Linked DNA regions of Lepisosteus oculatus. The protein of the gene in region 3 interacts with the protein of the main gene of each other region in a biochemical or structural test. Links are inferred from orthologs where the notes say so. Each region holds a gene or a part of one and is shown on either strand. Other genes may lie near its edges.

Region 1 (7,927 bases), on a different chromosome or scaffold from region 3:
GCAATTATTTTTGTTACCGGCTTTTGGTTTTCGGTCCGACAGCAAACTCTAACTTGTTTTTTAAGAGTTCTGACAGAACACGCCTGATTGTGAAACCATTCGCACTTTAACAGCCCATTTGATCTTAATGATGTCTGAAATCAGAAAGTTCTTGAACCAGCCGATGTGGGCGCTGGGGCAGAGGGGTTTTAATGGTTACCGAAGAGGTCCACAGGAATATCCCAGACTGTACATAGGAACTGTTGCCGAGTTTTTATTCTCCTTTCAGATTAGCTTTTAACCAAAATAAAATGAGTGAAACGCTTTAGACAAAGATGTTAAGGAGCTGGGTTTTTTTTTCCAGAGCATTCACTGTCATGGAGCTGAATCAATTGTGATTCAATCGAGCATCTCTTCATGATAGGCTCAGTTTCTGTGCAGTCTGCGATTAGCACTGACATATCGTGAGGGTGGGAAATCTTTATTAGGGCTTATTTGCGCTGAGAATTGCTAGTGTTTGCTTCTGTTCGTTGTGTGTGAAAGTCTCTACCTCAGGAGCCCACCCCCACCCCCCCGCACACCCACCTTTGAGTGCTTTATGTGCTGTGGGTCGAAAAGAAAACCCATTTCCCATGTTAGTCATCCTGGACAGGTTAGCCATGGAGCAGCAGAGCGGCTGCTTTTGGGGTTAATGGGGAGCCCGGCCCGGCCTCAGGCTATGCAGAAGTGCTCAGCCATGGAGCATGAGTGTTGACTTTTGAATGGGCCATTAATATCGGGCCACTTCAAGAGAGAGAGAGAGAGAAAAAAAACCGTACACATCAAAAAAACAAAACTGGGGCTTTAAAAGAAAGCAATTCTTGAAAGAGGAAGAAGAGGCCAATGTGTAGGCCTCGAGTCTTGTTTGATTTCAGGGAATGCTTTCAGGACTTCCCAAGTGACTGGCAAATCCCCCTCCCCTACATACACCCTTTTTACCTCTCACTACTGTCATAAAATCAAAAGAACAAGGCCCTGTCACGGCCCTAACACTCCTCCCATCGAATGTGGTAGCAGTCAACATTGTGTGATGTGGGCCACCCACCCGTTTTTATAGAGAAAGGTAAAGGCACTACGTATCTATGAACTACTTATTAAAAAGGCGTCGGGAGTGCATTTGTTTTTCTGATCTATGCATCCATTCTTAATCTGCTTTTCCTGACGCGGGGCCATGGTGTCTTTTGTGATGTTTTGTTTTAAAATATATATATATATTGGTCTAACGCGTTTGATATCTCAGACTGCAAAACTAGCACTCATCCATAACTGAAGCAAAATCATTTTAATTGACGAGTTACCGCTTATCGGATATTATCTAAACGTTTACGCAATAGGGATTACTTCTGCCCTCTGGCGGACAATCTTTATTACTGCGTTTCTCACGAGTGCCTCGTTTACTTAAAGGAATTCTGATGACTAAGCAACTTCCCTTCACTGCATTATCATTGCTGTTTTGTTCACATCCCATTTTTTTTACATTTCTAATCAATTATCATGATAAATTTGTAAACAAAAGTGAAGACGTACTATTGTCAATGTATTCTCTGCTTTTCGCATTCAGAAGGTTAAAAAATATAAAAATTCCGTATGTTTGTCAATTAAAAATATAATAATGTATCCTGTACATATCAATATCTTAATTAGAACAAACATTAAATTTGGCAAGAAGTAAACGTCTTACTGCATAAGTGTATTTGTACAAAGCTACTTTTTAATTTGTATTGTGTTATTGTGCTATGTTAAATGCACATCTGTTAGTTATCCAAATAATTTCAAGCCACATTTAGGTTAGTTAGCGGCCTAGGGGCGGAGCAGCAGCTAGGTTAACAAAGTACGCGTGATCTAAAGGTTAATTTAATTACTTCTACATTACATGCTTTGCAGATCTAGAGTTGAGCTCAAGAGCCAGCTTTCAGCATTACACACATCGCCCAAGATTTGTTTGTTTTTTAATCCATGGAAAGAATATAGCGTTGCAATTTATTAGCAGTATTATTTTTTTGTTTTAAAATGACCGTAAAGACATTTAAAAAGGGGAGCCTATGGCGTTGTTGAATTTGCTGTAATTGCCTTTTCTGTCCCAGAGAGTAAAGACGCGCAATTTGTATGATTTGTAAAATAAGGTTCTTCAAAACAATTTATAAACTGTATTTTCAGTCATGTTTTTTTATAAAACGGTATCGGGGGAGGGGGAAGCTAGAATCAAAATGATGTGCAGTATTAAAACAAGGCTTTAGAATTGCTTTCATTGGTTTGTATTCATTACTCTTGGAGATAATAGTGAAAGTAAAATATCAAACTTATATTTTTTATTTGTGTTGGTGGGGAGTTGCACATCTGTTTCAGAGCTGATAAGAGTTTAGATTTCTTAAAATAATTGTAATTAAACTTAGCGGAGCTCTTTGCGTTTTCGTCTCCCGGGGGTATGTAGAAATTTTAATTTTATGATCCCTCTCATACCGTCATTCACGCGCTACAACGCTAGATGTATTTGCGCTTTTCATGTGTTCGCATAACCAGCTGAACAGCTGAAATCAGCAACAGTCACAAGTAACTCCGCAATGCCAGATAATAAAGATACAAGCCCTGTATTCTGTGCGAGAGAACGAAACTGGGAGTCCCAGTGTCCAGCCTTTCTTTACAAAGACGAGAAGAGATGGTACCTGCATGTTTGTCTTTCTTTGCAAATAGGTGTTTAATTAACTCGAGTACCTGCAAAGAGCAATTTGCATCTCGGGCATTGCAGTCTTTGGTATAATTGATTACCAGCGATCAGTCAAAAGTAGACTAACCGATGTCTTTCAATTTGAACACTCCGTCCTGAAGGACATTTAATGGGTGCTGAACAGTGCCAGCTTTAGTCGCTTTGGGGGTCAAAAATTACTTTTGTGGACCTTATAGGGTTGCGCTAAATTGACAGGCGTTCGTTACTTTTTTTCAGTCGGTGAAAAGATAGCTCTTCTCATTTAGGAAACAAAATGTTAATGGCAATTATAGGCTTTGATAAGATAAAGAAAAGATGGACAGCAGCGAACGAAGCAGGAGCTTCACATCGCAGGTTTACAGTAAACTTCATCCCTGCCAATCAGCTAGGCACAAGAGTCTAGGAGAATAGGATCTTAAAAAGACGAACTGGCCGGTTCTCAGGTCTGTATGAAAGGTAGTGGTGTTTTGTTCTCCGAAGTTGGTCCGCGCGGGTTCAGCCTTTTCAATTTAAGGAAGCTAGAAATTATTACCTGTGTTCACACAGTAGAATAGAACGAAATTCGCTACATACAACATATCACACTGAACGTGGCAAATCTAACTTTGAAAATATTGTTTATATAGGATTTTTTTTCAAAAGAATATAATATTACTCATAAATCCTCTGGTAAGTGTAAGGTTTGAAGATCCTTGTTTAAAACAGCAAAATGTATATATGGTGCTGCTTTAATTGTAAAGCTCGTGGATTCAAAAAAACATTTGAGCATACTTAATGATGGAAGTTCAGCTGTGCTGAATTCTTATGCAAGATATAATTTCTCATTTTTGAAAAAAAGTTGCAAAAATGGGAACAACCCCTCAGAAATTCATATAACTATTGCGGTATAAGTATTCTTAATAAATGCATTTAAATTTAATCGGCTTAATCGTTGTTTTGGTAAGGCTACAATACTATTGGCTTCTGGTTTTACGAGAATAATAGATATTAACGAGGGTAAAAAAGGCCGTTAAAAGCCACATCGCTCTGATTAAATCAACTTTGCAGCCCGTCATTTAGCTAGAGGAGTTATTAAACAAAACCGTCTGGGTTGGCTTGCAGTATTAAAAAAAAAACAACAATCATGGATACATTCATCATGACCTGAGCCATCATTTAAGAAGCAATGATAACTTTCCTTAATAAAATGGTAGTTTAAAGTTAATGTCGTTTTTCTTGAAAATATAAAGTCTCTCAATGAAAAAAATTAGAAAGTTGCATAATGTATCTTAATTTACCCTTGGCCCTCATACAGCGTTTCATTTTCCTTGACGTGAAGCATATGAACGCTATCGAGTTATTGAACGACAAAGCTTCTTTTCTACTCTTTGCCTGTCCTATAGATATAGACAAGCTACAAATTTGGATTAGCCTTATCAATAGTGAGTGGTATGGAATTAAGTCCTGATTACGAAGTGTGAGAGTACTAGTGTCAAAGACACTAGATTACACTGGATGGAAACTTTATATAATTGGGGATTTAGAATTGGGTCCTTTTCCCCTTAATGTGTTTTTAATAACCGTTCTCCTTGGATTGTTCTGCGTTTCTCGTATCATTTTGGAGCTCCAGCAAGCGTCTTAGAAAATGTGAAAAGACGAGGCGAGAACAGGGCAATTTAAATAGTTGAGAATGTGATATTCCTGGGGAGGCGTGAGTGTTGTTGTTTTTTAAAGCTGTAACGTTTGTAATCCCTTTAATACGTCTCACACATTTCTTTGGTAACGTCACCCCAATACACAAGTCGGCTTTATCAAAGTGTTTCTGCATCAACTGGGCATCATTATTTTCTTTTAAAAATCATCAGAACTTCATAATTACATGTACTTTTCTTTTTTGATACTTCAAACAAAATAGCTTACGCTTGTCAAGTTTTAAAGTCAGCCATATAAGATAAGGCTCGAAACGTGCCTTTTTTTCCCAAAGTTTTCAAATTAGGCTACATTTTTTTACTCCCGTTTGGAAGATTTTCCATTATTTAGGCTTATAGTCAAATGTATCGCCGTCGTAAAATATGTTATTTTATCTAGCGAACGTCCATCTAATCCCTCTGTCACACTCACAAAAAAGTGTATCTTTTCAGGTTTCATTTGAAAGCATTGACCTTTGTATTTTTTCGTTTTACCTACATGCGTTTTTTTTATTTTGGATATGTTATAGCTCCTCCCGTTTTCACTGAAGTGTTCGCTTTTGTCCAGGTGAAGGTATATTTTGATTGGGGGCAGCTATTGTTCTAGAGCGAAAGAAAAGGAGGCTGGTACGGAGGATCTTCCTACCATTTTAATCAGGGGTGCAGGCGTGAACAGGGGGTTGACATTGGAGACTGGAATGGGAGTAGAGGAGGGGATAGGGACTGGATAAGGACTCAGTCAAACACTGCTGCTCACAGAAGCAACATCACCCAGGGCTACTATTACCAAACGGGATTGCGAAAACTGCCACTACTGACCGACTTCAAGGAAAATCACTACAGGATCCTAACAAATTTATCAGGACAGTAGAAAAAGAAGTGATTCACCAAACAGAAACGCCTCGCCAAGGATTTTTCTCTGGGAAAGATTTTTTTTCAGTGTGGTCGTGACACGTAAAATACAGTACTTACTGCAACTAACTCTGGGGAAATACATTGGAGGTTTTTATATATGCGTATTTATTTCTTTTCTACGCTCTTCTCTGCATTTTCGGCATCAAGCGTTTCGTCCAGCTCTGAAAGGTGCTTCTGGTGGATACACGTTGTCCACGTTTTTTATTTATATATAATTTTAAATTATTGATATAAATTGACTTTGACGCTTTTATGAACAATCAACGTCCCATTCTGTCAATGAATTAAACCTGTTAGGGGGGAGAGAGTATAACATTGGATGATCCTTGTCTTAAAACGGATTATTTCTCCGCTGTCTTCAAAGACATTGATTTGATAGATATTTTCTTTTTTTCCTGTCACTCTTATCTTCTCAATTGTTCGTTTTTTGTGGGTTGCTGAAAATTATAATATTTCACCTTATTCTAACGCAAGGATTAAGAAGAAATAAAAATACTACGACAGTTGCCACTGGGCTGAACAGTATCTCCCTTCAGTTGTTTGTCAGATAAGAACCGCTATCTCCTGCAAAGGTACTGAGGGATTCTTGAACTATTTCAATTGCAGAAGGGGGCAAATTTGTCATATTTTAAATAATCTTCAAGGACAATCAGGCCATTCATTTGTTTCTACTATTTCAAAGCAACTTCAAAATGAGGATCATACCTTCAAGATTAAGCTACCTGTAAGTACATTTGCTTTATCCTTGATTTGTTTATAATGTTTCTGAAATGTTTTAAGTATTCAGCTATCTTCTTTTCTTCTCTTCCAGGATACTTCACCTCCTCGCTTTATGCTTCCATGCTCAGGTATGTCCCTACCAGACTCTGCTTTTTAATTATGTTTTAGAATATTGTATATGGATTGACTTTGTTCAGATGAAACGGTTGGAATTAAGATAAAGTAAAAGTCAATATATTATTTACGTTTGACTATAAATCACTTGAAACGTTTCATTAACTTTGTCAGAGTATATGTCTGAATACACAATATACTTTGGTATCAGAGCTGTCATCCGTGGAGGGCGTAAATATGGCATTTGTATTAAATTGTCATAATGACATCAGTGAATTATCAGCATATCGCTTTTCACGATATGTACAGTGAAACATGTTTCTAAGACGTCAGGTGATTCTCAACGAAAATAGTAATAAATATTGGAGTAAATATATATGTTTAAGGAAGTGCACTGTTATTCTAGAATATTAATGACGTGAATGTGTGTGCCTATATATATATATGTCTGCACACACATCTTGAAAACCCGTATAACTAGGAGAAAAAATGCGATTGCTAAAACAGATGGGACTGGCGTATGGCTGAAAAATTGACAGAGGATCGTTAAAAAATACGGCACAGGTAGAAAGAGAAGAGGGTGTAAGATAATTTTATTGGTAGGATAACAATATATCAGATGGAGATCCTACTGAGTGAGGACAGCGGTCTCGCCACATGCTGTACTCGTCACAAGCTGGCAGGCATTTCTCTAACCATATTGCCCCTCGTCTTAAAGGAGAAGCTAGGGCAGAAATAAATGTGCCAAGAGTAGGTTTGTGGAGAAGGTCAAGGGGGGACTATTAAGGCCAGTTTTCATTCACCAGTCCCCGTTGTTTCTTTAAAGCAGACCTCTCAATTTGACATGGGTTATTGGGAGTCCAGCTTGATATCTTCTCTATTCCTCGAGTTGACGTGAAAAGAGAATCACCCTTGAACATTTGCTCAAAATCCATGCAAAGTACACTGTTCTTGTAACAGGTTTAAAGATCAGCCGTATATACGGTGCTAATCTTCTGAGACAAACCGAGGTATCCTGCACACGGACTGCTAGTATAAATTCCTATTTCATATTTCCGGACAATACAATCTCGGTTACAGTGATTTTCTGTTTCCTATAAAAGTTTTCCACAAGACAATCCATATACAATGTCCTGTCTTTTGTCTTTGAACTGTTTTTATATTAAATGTACTTTAATTCTAAGATTTAGGTCATTATGTAGGGTACGCATGTATTTAAGGGCAATCTCTTTTAAGAATAAGAGTCAATTTGCTTAAATCCTTACACTTATAGTTGAAGAAAATATACATATCATTGTATATAGTTATTTTTTTTTTTGGGGGGGGGGGGGTGGTTCAGATATTCTTCAAGAGATATGTAAAGGTATGTTGTATATTTCTTTTCTTAATTTCTTAAAGGTAACCATTCAGTCCTCGCCTAATTTTACACAGCATGTGAGTGAACAAAGTAAGGTGACTGACCGGGTGAGCCGTAGGCTAATTCGGACCTACCAGCTGTACAGCCGGACGAGTGGCAAGCACGTGCAAGTTCTGGGGAACAAGAAAATCAATGCCATGGCAGAGGACGGCGACGCACACGGTAAGACCTCTGGTATTTCAAATACACAAATGACCCTGCACGGGGGAAGGGCCACCCAGAGATCACTCTCAAACATTTATGACTGAAACTTGCCATAGGTGAAGCAATAGAGGCTAATTGATTCAGCTTCATCAAATGTGGTTGTGAACACAGCGCGTGTTTTAATAACATGAGCCGCTGGAAAGTACATCTGTTTTGTCTAAGTCACTA
Region 2 (6,827 bases), on a different chromosome or scaffold from region 3:
TTTCAGCTTTCTTGTCGACAAATGTTTGATCTATGCATTCTTTTAAATTGCGCACATACCCAGGTGTCAGTTACTTTGTTAGAATAAAACCCTACCTGGCAGATCACTCTGTTGTAAATTTACTAATGAGGTGTAGTATACAAGATTGCATTAACAGAGGAAATGGAAATGGTGTATGGAATTGAGTGCTTTGGAGAGGTGTGACCTTGTACCATTTGGTCACCAAAGACGATGGGTTTGTTTTTGCAGCTGCCCTCTCCTTCTATGTCCAGAATGCTTCGGCAAGACTCAGAGTGTGTCACCTGTAACCACTGTTCCTATTCCTGGCAGAACCAGTGTGTTTGGCCAGATTCAAGAACGTTTTCTGGATAATGTTATAAATAGCCTTATACGACAAGGCTTGTCAATTTCTGCAAGTAAAAAAGTTACTGCATTTGAGTATTCTTATATGGTTTAGCTTTTTATTTAGAATTCAGCTTTTGTTGGGAATTGAATATTAAAGGCGATCAAGGTAATGACAAGACTTGCTGTGAGCCTAAGGCCACATGACCAAAGGCAATTAGTTAAGCAGACAGCGTGGGAGCAGTCTTCCACACTTTCAGTGTATCAGAATTGAAGAGTCTATAGCTGAATTGTTAAATAAATGAGCACTAAAACGTATCCAGAGGGACAGGAAATTAATATGGATTCCAGTTTAACCATTTGCTTTCCACTGGCTGCTATCACAATTCAACTGAATTACTTTTTTGCCTTTTGCAATTAATTGCTCTGTGAAGTTCTCTTCATATCTCTGCAATGTTCTTTATCAACTTTTACTCTGGTTTTCAATTTCACTAAACAAAACAGCTATTTCAAACAAACATCAGTCACTGTCATACCTGATTACAATTTTAAATTAACTAATATGACTAATATGAACACGTGGAGAAGTGTCTAAATTTTATTTTTTAGTTAAACAGAATATTTTTTACTAAACTCCTACATCATCTTTTTTTTTTTTAAGAAAGCCTGTATACCATATACAGATCATTCAATAAAGCGCTAAAAGTCTCCTACAAATCCTTCTCGCTGAATTCCCGAGAGGGAACACTGTGTCCACTGAAGGGTGCAAAACATCTTCTGACACAACATACGTACTCAACCCAGAAAGGATTAAAAACTATTCCTTCTCAAATAATCTGCTCGAGACACTACACCGCACCCCGAGTGCTTTAGAATAAAAAAAAAAACATCCCCGGTGCCCGATACTATAGTAGGCTTTGCCATTCTCCGTGGAAAAAAAAAGAGACCAGGTGTTGAATTCCAGTACCCATAGCCATTGAATTTCCAGTACAAAAACGTTTGTGGGATGAAAATGGAGGATGACTGCTTTAAAAATAAGCAGAAGTGGGATCATTTATGGTTTTAGTCATTAAAATGTTAAAAACTAGTTACGTGCAACAATTAAGAATAATAGATGCTGTGGACCCCATAATTTTGCCTCAAACCGCAGGAGGCAGCGAACAAACGCAGTCAGGCGCTGCTCAAGCCTGCAAATTAGTTTATGATGGAAATGAAAAAGACACCGTATAACATCACCTGTTAATCACTTTTTTAAAACTTTTAAACTGGTTTCTTTTAAAGGATATAGACATATTTAAAAAATAACCACATTAATGCATCTCACTAAATAGCACTGTAATAAAACCGTGTTCATCTAGGTGTAACAATAAAAATGCCTAAACTACTTATACATACTTGCTACAGTACATTAAAATTGAGTTACAAATATTACTACCCTTCAAACCTTGAAGAAAAGGTTGCAGGGGAGTTTTTCTGTAGGCGATTGTTATAAATAAAAGATTTCACGTTAAAAGCAATCTTGAAATCGCATTTATTTTTTTATTCAGTTATTTATCCTCGGCGTCAAAGTAGCACATGCGGACAAGCTACTATTAAGCCATTTATCGAGATGAAGTTAACGAGTCAGTAACTCAAAAACCGCTACAGACGGACAAATCCCGGTAGCGCATTTCTTCAACTCTATTAATTCACAGTTCAATTGGATTTTTTTTTAATTTACAGCTAAATATCACTTTAGTCTTGCATTTTATACATTCTGTTTTAGAAAAGTGTCTAAAGTCAACAGTTGTTTAAATAAAATGCCTTCAAATAGTATGCGCTAAAAGGTAAAACGCATTAGATTACAATTAATAAACAAAAGTAAAAAGGGGCGTCCAGTCATTAGTATTCTCTTTCATGTAACTTAATTATTACGACTCACCAGCTAAGTCTTCACGGACATAGCGAATACCCCGATAATCACAAAGCGCATCCTTAAGAAGCAGTGCCAGGACCAGTAACTCTGCTGCATATGCAGGATTCAGTCCTCAGTTTCTACAGCATTAATTCAAGCTCTTTCCAAAACTCTTCATTAACACTGATCCCTCTCGGTAAACTTTAGTTAAAGTCTTGGAACTTCAGAAGTCGAACAACTCATTCGCCACTCTTAGTTCGATAAAGGGCTTCTGAATTTTGGAACTCAGACATTGACGTTTCAGCTCCGATGCTTATCGCTCTCAGTGAATGATAATGAACAAGAGCAACAATTAAACGCGAGCCTTCGGACAAGCGTCAGGGACTGCTGATGCGCGCTCAGCAAGAACAGCTACTTGGCAACTTAATATGCTGAGAATAATAACACATGTAACAATCACATTTCACTATGTATCCACCATGCATTCATTAAAGATTAATGAAACGTGATCTACCTGGAAATGTTTGAAAAAAGCAGAGATGCGAGTGAGGTGCAGGCTGAGACATCTCGATGTGCATCTTGCTCTGTAAATACTGGCAGTGAAGAAGGACTCGTCCTGCTTCCTTGCAGCGACGCTATCCCAGTTCCATGAGACTATAATCCACAATAACAGGGTCAGATACACACTGGGATTCCTTACAAACATTGTGTGACCGAGGTGCTTTTATCTGTGTACTCTGATCAAGCTAAACTGCGTGATGTCCCTGCTGGAGAAACTAAAGAAACTTCACTAATCCACAGAGGAGGAGTCAGAACAGCATGTGGCGCCCTATTGGAGGGGTTGGGGTGAGTGGCAGTTCAGGAAAGCTGTCGAGCTGGTAAGTACGAAGTCTTGAAACGTTACAGGAAAAATGTTATGAGTATGTAATTGAGGTCTGAAAGCATCATTCCGTTGCGCCATTGCCTTAATATTTTTTACCTAAAAATATTTTTTTTTATTTAACGTCACACGGCGGAACATCTTTCATAAAGATTATATCCTGGCAACTCTCAAGCATTTTGTCATTTTGTGTAGTTGGAAACCAGATGGCCGGACACCACACTGTTCCTGCAGTTCTAGCGTGGGGCTGAAAGAGTATCCAGACAAATTCTAGATAACGGCTTTGATCATATGAGATCGTACTGGAGAATATATTAATAAAATAATCTTTGGCACTTTGTATCGGTTACGAAACTAATGAAAGGAGTAAAGAATGTCGAAAGCCACAGCTGGTTGTTTAAAGACCAGCATTTCACCGAACAGCAGGTACCAATAAGCAAATGAAATCAAAGCGAAATCTGTATGGAAGAACTATCTATAGCATGCAACAGATACATGTGGAATAACGGAAAGGTATTAAAGGTTCTTGGTCTGATTAAACCCCTGGTCAATATATTAAACTGAACCAAATAGTATACTGTATCCGGGCCCTGCTGTAAAATGAAGACTACATGTACAGTAGGATTATATAAAGCCTGAATGAATGAATACAATCGCACATGAAATCAATCTTCACGATGAACCCGACTCGGCAATAAAGGAGAATTCTGGGCAACGCTGATGAGACAACAGTACATTTCTGTGATACAAGTAGTGCTGAGCGAACCAAACCTCTTTAAAACAGAATAAAACAACAAAATTAAGTTCTTCTTTCACTTTGGAATATGGTCGGCAACAAATAAGGCAGCCAGCTTTCATACAGTGCATGTTCAGCGCAGCTTTCATACCTGTTATTAAGGCAACGGGGAGTAACAATTTATCAGATTATTGTAAATTAGAAAAACACACATACAATGAAACAAATTAGGTTTTAATAGACTCAAAACAAAAGATTTAGATGCCCACATTTTTGCATTCTTAAAAAAATCTTACTCTTTAGAAAATACTGTATTAAAACTGTATTGTGTTTTAATTATCAACGACCAATCTTTTCACATTTTAAACTATGCATTTGTAACACATTCTGTTGGGTCATCCTTTTCCCTCTAAGATAAAGTTATTTAAGGTTTAGAAACATAGTTATGAAGCTCAGTCTACATCATGCCAACAGGCCCTTATAAAAAGGCGCTTTTAAAACGTTTAAAACATACACCTTATAGGGCATCCTCACTGGATGTTGTTGTTTGGTTACAGTGCACATGATTGTTTCATGAACTAACATTGAATATAATGTTTCTCCAACATCTGTAAATCAGTTGGTTTATTTTTGTTATTTTTTTGTTTACAGTTGACCTGGTGTTATATGTCTTATGTCACAAAATCTCCCCTGATTAGTAACATCTGATCATTTCTTTGTGTACTTTTGTAACCAGTAAAAGTGCAGCCCCACAGATGATTTTATCACTGCGTGCAGAAAAAAAATGACAGTTCTGCTTCAGTCTTGTTAGTTGAGTCATGTGACTGTCGTCCTCTGTAATTATAAGATAATTAGAAAATGTCCACAGTTCAGTGTTCTTTTGCCCTGTCTGCAGTTCATAACATTAATGATTTTCTTTTATTTGCTAACAGTGGTGATTTTCTCCCAGGCAACATTGAAGATGAGTTTTGTTAGTTGTGTGTGAATAAACATCTGTGCAATGTTTGATAGATACACTTTTGTTATCGTGTTTTTTTTTCTCCCATGCAGATCTATTGAAAACCATGCATGACAATGTTGGGCTTGTATAGTGATTTGTTTCCACTGGAATACTGGGGTGGAACATTCGTGTATCGAGGTCTATATGCAGTAGTGCATCGCTCTCCATACAGCTGGTATGGAGAGCGGTCATTTCTGTGGTGTTTTGTTGGTATACCTTTGAACAACCTATCAGAAATGATTATTAGCCTTCCAGACCTGAGATGTTATACTTGGTAAAAAACTAGTCAGTATTCTTACGACACCCTGTAAGCAACCTTTGTGGGTTTTTTTCTTATTACAGAGTGGCTCCAGCATCTCAGAAAGATTTCCTTAAAGAAATTTGTCTAGCAGAAAATGAGCAAAGAAACAGCATATTTTGCCTTTAATATCTTTACAACCCATTCTAACAAACGAGAACTAAGTACTCGTTTCATATTCATGTATCTTGTAAAACAATTGCATGAATGTGAACTTGAAACTTTTTTTCTGTTTTTGGGTGTCCCACTTTAAGTATTTTTTTTAATTAATTAAATGAATATCTGTGGCACCTTGTAACCCTCGCTGTCTACTGACATCTCTCAAAGTGTTTGATCCATTGCCTTGAGCAGAAAAAGAACAGAAGAAAAACGGACTCAATCTTTACACAGGTTTGAAACAAGCACGTGTAAATAAACAAATGCAAAAAAGCAGTAGATGACATATATTGGTAGTATTCCTGGTTGAGGTTTCTTGGAACAGAATTGGTTGCACTGCAACTGTGGCTCAAGTCAATTTGCTTCTCAATCCCAACACAGGTCAGGCCCGTACCTGGATGGGAGACGTTCCGGGAAAGGTAAGGTTGCTGCTGGAAGAGGTGTTAGTGGGACCAGTAGGGAGTGCTCACTCTGCAGTCTGTGTGGATCCTACATGGATACTATATTGTAAAAAGGTATAAAGAGTAAAACTGAGGTCCTCTATACTCATTAAAAAGCCTATGGCATTTTTTCAAAAAGAGTAGGTATGTTACCCCACTATAACATACCCCACTGGCTTTTACCAATCATGGCCCCCTAACAGTCCCTAGCTCTGAATTGGCTTCATTAATCTGTTCTCCTCCCCACTGGTGTGTGGGGAGCATACTCGCACACTGTGGCTTCCGTCACATTATCCAGATGGGTGCTATACATTGGTGGTGGAAGAGGAGAGTCCCCGTTCCCTATAAAGTGCTTTGAGAGGATTGTCCAGAAATACCCATTATAAATGTAAGAATTATTAAAGGTCACTTGGGGTATGAAAAGTAAAGAAAAGGCAGTGCACAATCTCAAATGAAACAGCAAACATGAACTCGATTTTAGTTCAAATCTCTGGCTTTTTCACGACAATTGGTTCTGAATTAGCATGCTCCCTAAATAATTTACCATGAGGTAAAATATATCCTACCTCCAAATATTACTTTCATTTTCTTGGTTGATACAGATCTTTTGTGTACAGTGTAACTGCAATATTATAATGTAATAAACCCAGCACACACAGTATGATTAAATGTAGCCTAGGAAGGGACAAAAACAAAGAGCCTGTTAACCAGCAAGCTTCATTCCAAAGCCAGAAATGCCTTCAGCTAAAGATTTTGAGAGCCAGATTCCTCAGTCCTGACATTTCTAAGGAAACAAATCCTTTAATACTTTCAAGTATATCCTGGAAAGCAAACATATATTGAGAACAGACAACGGTATTCATACCTTTCACAGAAATAAGTGAATAAAGTATTTTTAAAAGAGCTTATGTTAAGTGTTTTATAGCTACTATTTTCCATCTGCTGGCTAGAAATCTGAGCTTTAACTTTCTTACACTAGGATGTTTTTACAGTATTTTACTGTTCCTTGCTGTCTTCCAGTTCTGCCTTCTGTGTGATTTAAATATATTTTTTTGTTACTACAGAGAACAGTTTATGAAAA
Region 3 (7,890 bases):
TATGGCCTCCTAAAGAACAGGAAAAACTGAGTTTCCAGTCTCCCTTTAAGTATGCAGTATTATTAGAGAGAGCTGCATCCAAACTTTACTGTCTGAGAGAGCTTCCAACATGTTAGATGCCCCCTGGCCTCCAGGCCAGCCAGTCCCCTCCGCAGTCTTTTAGTAGTGCCCCATGCCCCTCTAAGTTCCCTGTACTGTGTTAACAAATCAAGCAGTTCCAGCATCTAGCCAGGTAAAAACACTTGCTCAGGGGGTCCACAACAGGCAATAACTCCATTAGAGCTTCACTGACGCACTGGCGAATAAAAAGATGTCATTAAACACTCAGGGCACCAGGCAGGGGTGTGCCATCTGCAACATTCTTCTGTTACCTCCGGACCGTATACAGAGGAAAGTCTGGATGACCATCACCCCCAGTGCCTTCCCCACCTCTCTCTCTCATGCTGCTCATTAGCCAGCCTTGGGCTGTTTCACACCTCATTGCTACCTCTATTTGCTGCAGTATTTGCTGATAAGCCCTCTTTAGTAAGTCAATGGGACCCATTCAGAACATTCTGTCTGCTTTCCAGGGCAACAGGGCAGATGGCAATGGACAATTAAAGACATTTATTTAAGCTTTTTTGGCGTTTCGGAAAATGGCTGTAAGCAAATACTTCTATTCTTTGAAGGAAATGTATATGTGGCTAGAAATAATTTCTTCTTCAGATGAGAAGCTTGTAACATGTTCATGTTTTTCAAGATGGTTTACTGGTCCCTGTTGATTTATTTTTGCAGACCTACAAACTACTCATAGTTCTCTGGGCTCTGAACAGCTGCCCCCACACCAGAGGAAACTAAATGCAATTTGTGTGTAAATGAAGTGTTAAACGTGCCTTAGAAATGTATTCCATTAGTACTTTATGTGTTATAAATTTTCTTTGGAAAGTGTTTTCTGGTGTTTTTTTAACGATTTTCAATTAATATTTGGATTTTCTGCCTTAAATTACAAAGCAGTGCATGTAGAACTATGAACCAGTCAAAGAGGGCTTTATTACTTATGTTTTTATATTAGTAATATTTATAATGTAACTGTGGTAGATTGCAGAAATGTGTGCTGACATTTGTAAACAGCATTTCTTTCTTTGCACAGTGACTGGTCCCTGAAGATTCCATATTCTTTTTTTACCTAACTTTTTAAATTGCTAGTTATTTTTTATTATTATATTTATCAATTTTAGAATCTCCAGTTGTGTGTTTTTCACGTCTGGACTCGTGACTACGACCTCTGACACTGCACGCTTGTAAGAATGAGGGGGCGCAGTCAGACTCCTCCACACAGCTCGCCGTTGAGTCCCCTGTCTTTACCACGTCACAGGCACCCAAAGGTCACTGCTGGTTGGAGGACAACTGCATCCCTCGCTGGCAGCGTCCGCTAACCTGTCCGTCGTTATGTTTGCCAAGAGCCGGGGGAGCCCAGACTCATTAATCCCACCCTATCCTGAACTGCGCACAGACCTCACGTATCTCTTGTCTGGGTGACGGTGACGTCAAGCTCTGTTGACATCAAATTCCCTGAAGCTAAATAGTGACAAAACAGAACTTTTACTGGGGGGCAGTTAATGCCTCCTGGAGAGCTTCACAGTTATCACGGACAGCTTATCCGTTCAGGCATCAGCCTTACTCTGGAAACTGGGAGTCGCACTTGGGCCTCTCCTGACTTTGGCTCCGCACGTGAAAAATTAGACTAATATTTTCACCTAAGCAATATTGCCTGCATTAGATCATTTCTATCAGTGTCCGATTGCTGAGGGCCCGATTCATGCATTTATACCATCGAGGCTTGATTTCTGCCACTGTTTACTCTATGGGCTCCCTAACACTCTTCTCAGTGAGCTCCAATAAGCCCAAAACTCTGCAGCTAGACCTCTAAGTCACACCAGATCTCGGCAGCATATCACTCCTACACTTAAATCTCTACATTGGTCGCCTTTAAAATGATGTATTAAATATGAGATCTTCTAACTTTGAAGGCTTTAAACAATCTGGCACCATCTTACATCTCTGAGCTCCTCCATGTTTACACTCCTGTAGGCTTTGGTCTGTTGAGGCTGGTCCTTTGCTCACTGTACTCAGGACTAAATCTCTCACTATTGGTGACCGTGCCTTTTCTGTTGCAGCTCCATCTATATCTATATCTATATCTATATCTATATCTATATCTATATCTATATCTATCTATATCTATATCTATATCTATATCTGATTGCACTACAGTCAGATTATTGTGTATGTTCTTGTTTTAATGTCTTGAAAGCCACTTTATAAATAAAAGGAAGAATAATGGATGGTTTAAATGCCTTCTTCTTCTTAGGTGAGCAGGATAGTTTATAAGGAAGAAGTAGAGGTTCATACATGCTGAAAAGAGAAGAAAAGAAAGACAACTTTTTGGCTCTGGACTCTATTATAGGTGTGAACTAATTGAACTACTTAAGGCCAGGATAGTTTATAGCTCAGGATAGTTTCCAACTTCTAATAAGCAAAAAAAAAAAAGAATTTGCTGTCCTTTCTTATGCAACCTCTTTCCCCTTCACATGTACAGTATTTCATCCTGCAGTTTGGTGACATTCCTCTCCTTGACACTCTTTTGTTGATTATTTTATTTAGTATATTTTATGCACAGTATAATACGCTTAATGAGAAATAATTTTACCATGCGTAATAAAACTGTAATTTTCCTATTATATAGGTGTGACTTTAAAATATGCTATATATAACGTCATAAAAATATTTAAATTATAGAATTACACACATAATATATCCTTCAATATAAAAGATATGTTTAAATATATAAGTGCTCTTGAAGGATAAAATAACTTGGCTACATCTGGCTGTGATGAAGGTCTGTAAAACGAGTCCTGTCTAGTATCAGTCACTCTAATAAAACATCTGGCAGAGGCGCACATACATCAAAACGTATTGAGAGCACAGGAAGACTGCATTTGGGGTTATTATCTGGATTTAGTCATATTTTAAAAGGCATGTGGTAGTGTCTGGAGTTTCACGTTTCAATTTATAATAAATACTTTAAAGCATGCGGACAATGCGTGCCACTACCTGTTCGAAACGGAGAAGAAATTCACGTCAAATACAACGTATACCACAGAGGTATGGTGCTTCATAATAGCAATGCTAGCACGATCGAAGGGAACGGGTTAAAAAACTTAATCCACAGATTAAGGTTCTTATCTAAATGTAAACCCCAGTTTAGGCTTTTTTTATCTGTACTTTAGACTTGGTCTGAATTTTCAAAGTGAAAATTTTACTTATACATAGGCCTGGTATCGCTAAGAGTCAATGTATATTAAATTGAATTGAATTGTACGTGTGCATCATCTCATCTTGATGTACGACTGTTGCAGTCGACCTCTTGTAAACTGTGCAAAACAGCCTTGGACCGTTTAAAAATAATGAACTCGATGAGGCAAGTAATTAAACAGAGCCACTGACACAAACTATTACGGAGCCGTTTAGCGTGGTTAATAACTGAAAAAAGGTTAACCTCTGTTAATACAATTATTAAACATCGCCGGGTGGTATTATAATTATTAAACATCGTCAGGTGGTATAAATATAGCATACTTGATATGTTTATCTTTGTGGTTCATCAAAGATTAGGCACCCGAGATGCCTGACATGATTGTAAGATTCGAATAATACGAAATGAATGTGTTCATTCAACCTTGTTTCATATAATGCTAATTTTATCTGAGTAGCCTGGGTTACTGAACGGAACTGGCTTCCTGTAACGGTTTTTGTTTAATCAAGTTATCAAGTAAATTAAGTTTCGATCAACAAATTCGTTGAACCTGTCGCCCTCGGCCTCAGCTGTGTTGTTTGCAAAACCGACCGATGCTCAGCTGCTTTTTTAAGACGTTTCTGGTTTTAACACAAAAGTATGAATGGAGTTTTATTCTGTTCTATTATTCTGTTGTTGCGCCGAAGTAGTTTTTAGTGACAGAACATACCATATTCAGTGAGAAAGTACATACAATTTTTAGTAAGAATATATACAGTTCCTTACCCTCTGTATATTTAACACGGTGGCGTTGCCATCCCGTATTTGACCCTTATGTTGCTTTAACTACATTTTTAACTACATTCATACACATTTTTGAAAAGGGTGGAGCTTCAGCAATGCCAAATAGAACAACATTTTCAGAGAGATGTTGATAAAAAATGGTCAATCTTTTATAGAACGTCTTTTTATACAATACTTAAAATGCAGTCTAATTCCTTTGATGTCAAGATGCACGAGATTATGCTGTCTGTATCAGCATTACAGTACTGTATTTCACGAAGAGCAGTTTCATACAACCACATCCGATAAGTTAGTTTCTATAATATTTAAGATTATTAATGACATTTCAAACAAACTCCACGGTGGCGCAGTGGGTTAGCATAGCTGCATTTCCCCGCTGGGGCCCTGGGTTCATTTCCAGACGTGCGGTACTGTCTGTGTGGGGTTTGCGTATTTCCCCCGTGTTCATACATCTAGCTGGACATGTGATAAGAAGAAAAATCAAGAAGATAACTTCAATCTAAATTACAGAGGTCTGTGAGAACACAGGTAACAAAACTCACTATAATTAAGATGTAAACAACATTTGTGAGCCTACTTCTTCATATTATGGACGTGAGAAAAGTATTATAGAAACGAAAAACGTGGATACTTCGCAGTTCGTCGCTGAACGAATCACCATGCGCAGGGTTTGGGTCATATACTGAGTGTATATGCCGAATAGTTCGGCAGTATTGACATGTTGGTTTACTTTTCCGCTAAAAACTACATATCCCAGAATGCCAAGCAGAGGGGGTTGAGTCTCACTTGGGCATGGAGGTGTTGGAGGATGGCTCGGAGGCAGGTTAGCTCAGTCGATGTGATTATGTATTCTCCGTATGATGGTAGGGGGCAGGTTTCCATTAGTTCGGCTCTTGTTGTTTCTGGAGCGTTTGAACAGTAGGGGGGAGGTCGCAGACAATCTGCGATGTGAATGAGTTCGGAGGAGCGAACGAAATAAGGAGATACAGCGTATTTAGACACGGGGCTGAATCATCAAGCTTTTATGTATCAAAATTCATTTGACTTTCAGCCTGAGTAGCTCAGGAGCTGATAGGAGCCTATCTCAGACGCTGTCTTAAAAAGTTATCTGGAAGACGGTTATCTTTGTGGGAATCTGGCTTCTTTCAAACAATAAAGAAGTGGAGCGCAGTTTTTTTTCTCCTTCACGTTATCACCACAAAAAAAGGTGCACGGCGTTTCATGAGCTTCTGCGAAGATTACTTTTCCCTCTCCAAACTTTGCGTATTTACCAGCTGATTTATAGGGGGGAAATACGATATTTTCTCCTGTTAACAGAAACTCGTAGTTTGGCTGTTCCGCGGCTTTGCTGTGATCTAATCTCAAGAAGTTTTTTTTTAACCTATGATCTGAGCTCTGATTTTCAGGAGAAGAAAGCTACTTGTCGATTCGTCTGGTTCTCCTTCCCCGGTATTTGCTAATTAACTTTGCGGAAGGCATTTGCTTTTTTTGGTACATACCAAGCCAGTTGTTTGGTACTGGATCTACAATAATGCAAACTTTCTAACGTCTTATAAGGATTCAGTTTCTTCTCCGTGAGAATCCCGGCGGCGCATCGTCTTGGAACTACTTGGCAAAAAAGGTAATTATTTTTGGAACTATAACTGAGTGAGAAAATATCTAATTCTAATTCTGATGTCAAGAATTTGTCAAAATCCGTAAGTTTTCATAATTTTATGAGCAATTTTTAAACACAAACTCAAAATACAAAGGATATTTCTGCCCCGGTCCAACATATGATTTTTATGTAATTCTGCAGTTTCACACGTTTTAAGAAATAGTGCGAATATAATGTGTTTCGTAAATATTCCCGTAAGATGCACGGAATTTTTTGAGTCTCAGTGGTTTTCGTATGCTTTGTAGCCTGAAGCTAATATTCTTGGAAAAAAAAGAGTTCTTGTGTTTTGGCTAATGTCCATCAATGCCAGATGTAGAACGCGTAATGAAACAGAACGTGCACTGCTTATTTAAGTGGTATAAATGGTTTTAGAAAGAAATTCTGGACTCCACAGTACCTATTTAGTTAAACCCGTAAAAGAAATGCAGTCATGACATCCAGCCTAAGAATTAATCTTGGTTAACACAGGAAAAGTGTTAGCGGGTGACCGGACTGTTGGTATTCCCTGAGGTGAGAGATACTTAACACGTTAAATTCGAAAAACGAATGCCCGTCAATAGCCTTGTCTAAAGTAAATGCAATTTAAAAACCAAACGCTGTTACGTTCTAGTGATACATCGCGATTTGTTGGTACGGAAGACAAAATACTGGGAATTGGAACTCATTTGGTTCAAAACGAGTGTCGACTAAGCGCGTTTGGACAACCCGTTTAATTTTTATTGCGAGCAGGGGGTTCATTGTGCCGTGTTTAACTTTCGTTGAAATGATCTGGCATATCGAGGTATCGCCGGCAACGAATGAGTTTTTTAAAGGCCAGTTTAACGGGAAAGTCTTTTTTGGGGGAGGGAGGGGGATGCCTAAGACGTTTCAGAGCCAGAAAGAATCATGGAAAATAGCAGTCAGGTTTTTGGCTCGCGGGACGGTTAACTAAAGAAGGGATTGAATTGGAAACTTTTTTTTTTCCCCTAGCTTGATCTCAGAACTGCGTTTCTCTCGATATCCCCCGTGACGCTGAGTGAAGCGCCTGGCCTTTTGGCTTTTGTATCCATTTGTTCCAGGCGGATCACAGGCATTTCACACGTTGCCTTGTGGACCAGCGTGGTGTCAGTCGCTCGCCTGAGGAGTCCCAACACTTGTTGCGTTTGGTCACTTGAAGGCACAGGGCTCTAGCAGAAGTGGGGGGTGGGGGTTATGAAGGCAGTACTGGGCTAGTAAGTCATTTAATTTAATTTTTGTTAGTATGTTAATTCTAACAGCGCCTCAGCCCTCACGAATGACTATTACAGCGGGCCGTTTCCCTCCACATTTAACGAGTAGTAGAAGATGGATTTTACAGAAGCGCGTCAGCACTGTAACGCTTCTACTGTTAAAACTGAAAACTATCGCCGGAGGGTCTGTTTACCTACTAATGTTTTATCTCTTAGTTTTTTTTTCTTTCTATAAGGATTAAACGAGGAGGAAATGTTGTAAAAAGGGCTTACTAACGTAACTCTAAGGGGGCAATGACCAAAACGTGCCCTGAAGAAAACAGTGAAAAGGCGCTTTGACCCGAGTGAGCTAAATATGAGTGACCAACGCCGACAGGGCCTGTATTACAAACAGATGACCAAAACACTCTTGATGTACCCTTGTTGTGTAAACACTGCATATCAATTTATGATATGTTGAAATCGCAAGCAAAGCCTGGTCCATTACACGGATTTCGATCCCTTTTAAGTGTAAGAGCAGTATCAAGGTGTAATTCTTAAGCGTTTACTGTTAAGATATTGAAATCTCTAAGACTGTCAATGATGACCTTATCTGTTTTGTTTTGTACGGTATTATAACAACGCGTCGTGAGTCTGACGTGACAAGTAGCGCGTCTTTTACCAGGTTTCTGGCGAACTTTCTGGTGGTTTTCAGTAGATTTCGTGGGGGAGGGGACGGGGGTTTGAAACTGAATGACGCACCGAAAAAGGGTCGAACCCAGGCATGGTAATGGGACACCTTTATTATTTTTAAAACTAGACGTTTACAGTGTTGATGATCTGAGCACGTATGTACCTGATACCTTACCAAAAGAGAGCCTATGTTATATTTTAACTTCAAGTCCTTTCCATTTGTGTTCATATGTCCATTGGAATCACTAACTGTATCAGTTTTCAAAATGTTTTCT

The links. The genes of interacting proteins can lie anywhere in the genome.
Region 1: the proteins of fgfr1a (region 3) and fibroblast growth factor 8 interact in a biophysical measurement, tested with the Homo sapiens proteins (2 studies listed by BioGRID and IntAct, with this or other methods). The link is inferred for Lepisosteus oculatus from reciprocal best matches to the Homo sapiens genes FGFR1 and FGF8.
Region 2: the proteins of fgfr1a (region 3) and anosmin-1 form a complex in vitro, tested with the Homo sapiens proteins (3 studies listed by BioGRID and IntAct, with this or other methods). The link is inferred for Lepisosteus oculatus from reciprocal best matches to the Homo sapiens genes FGFR1 and ANOS1.

The regions. Positions count from the first base shown.
Region 1 is NC_090699.1:35,823,302-35,831,228, forward strand, and holds the start of fibroblast growth factor 8, read left to right. Parts: upstream 1-4,911; 5' UTR 4,912-5,996; coding exon 5,997-6,028; intron 6,029-6,115; coding exon 6,116-6,152; intron 6,153-7,536; coding exon 7,537-7,717; intron 7,718-7,927. UniProt on the Homo sapiens protein: Plays an important role in the regulation of embryonic development, cell proliferation, cell differentiation and cell migration. Required for normal brain, eye, ear and limb development during embryogenesis.
Region 2 is NC_090708.1:22,445,383-22,452,209, reverse strand, and holds the start of anosmin-1, read right to left. Parts: upstream 3,017-6,827; 5' UTR 2,943-3,016; coding exon 2,751-2,942; intron 1-2,750. UniProt on the Homo sapiens protein: Has a dual branch-promoting and guidance activity, which may play an important role in the patterning of mitral and tufted cell collaterals to the olfactory cortex. Chemoattractant for fetal olfactory epithelial cells.
Region 3 is NC_090697.1:72,342,226-72,350,115, reverse strand, and holds the start of fgfr1a (fibroblast growth factor receptor 1-A), read left to right. Parts: upstream 1-4,884; 5' UTR 4,885-4,901; intron 4,902-4,928; exon of another isoform or gene 4,929-5,635; 5' UTR 5,636-5,699; intron 5,700-7,651; exon of another isoform or gene 7,652-7,709; intron 7,710-7,890. UniProt on the Homo sapiens protein: Tyrosine-protein kinase that acts as a cell-surface receptor for fibroblast growth factors and plays an essential role in the regulation of embryonic development, cell proliferation, differentiation and migration.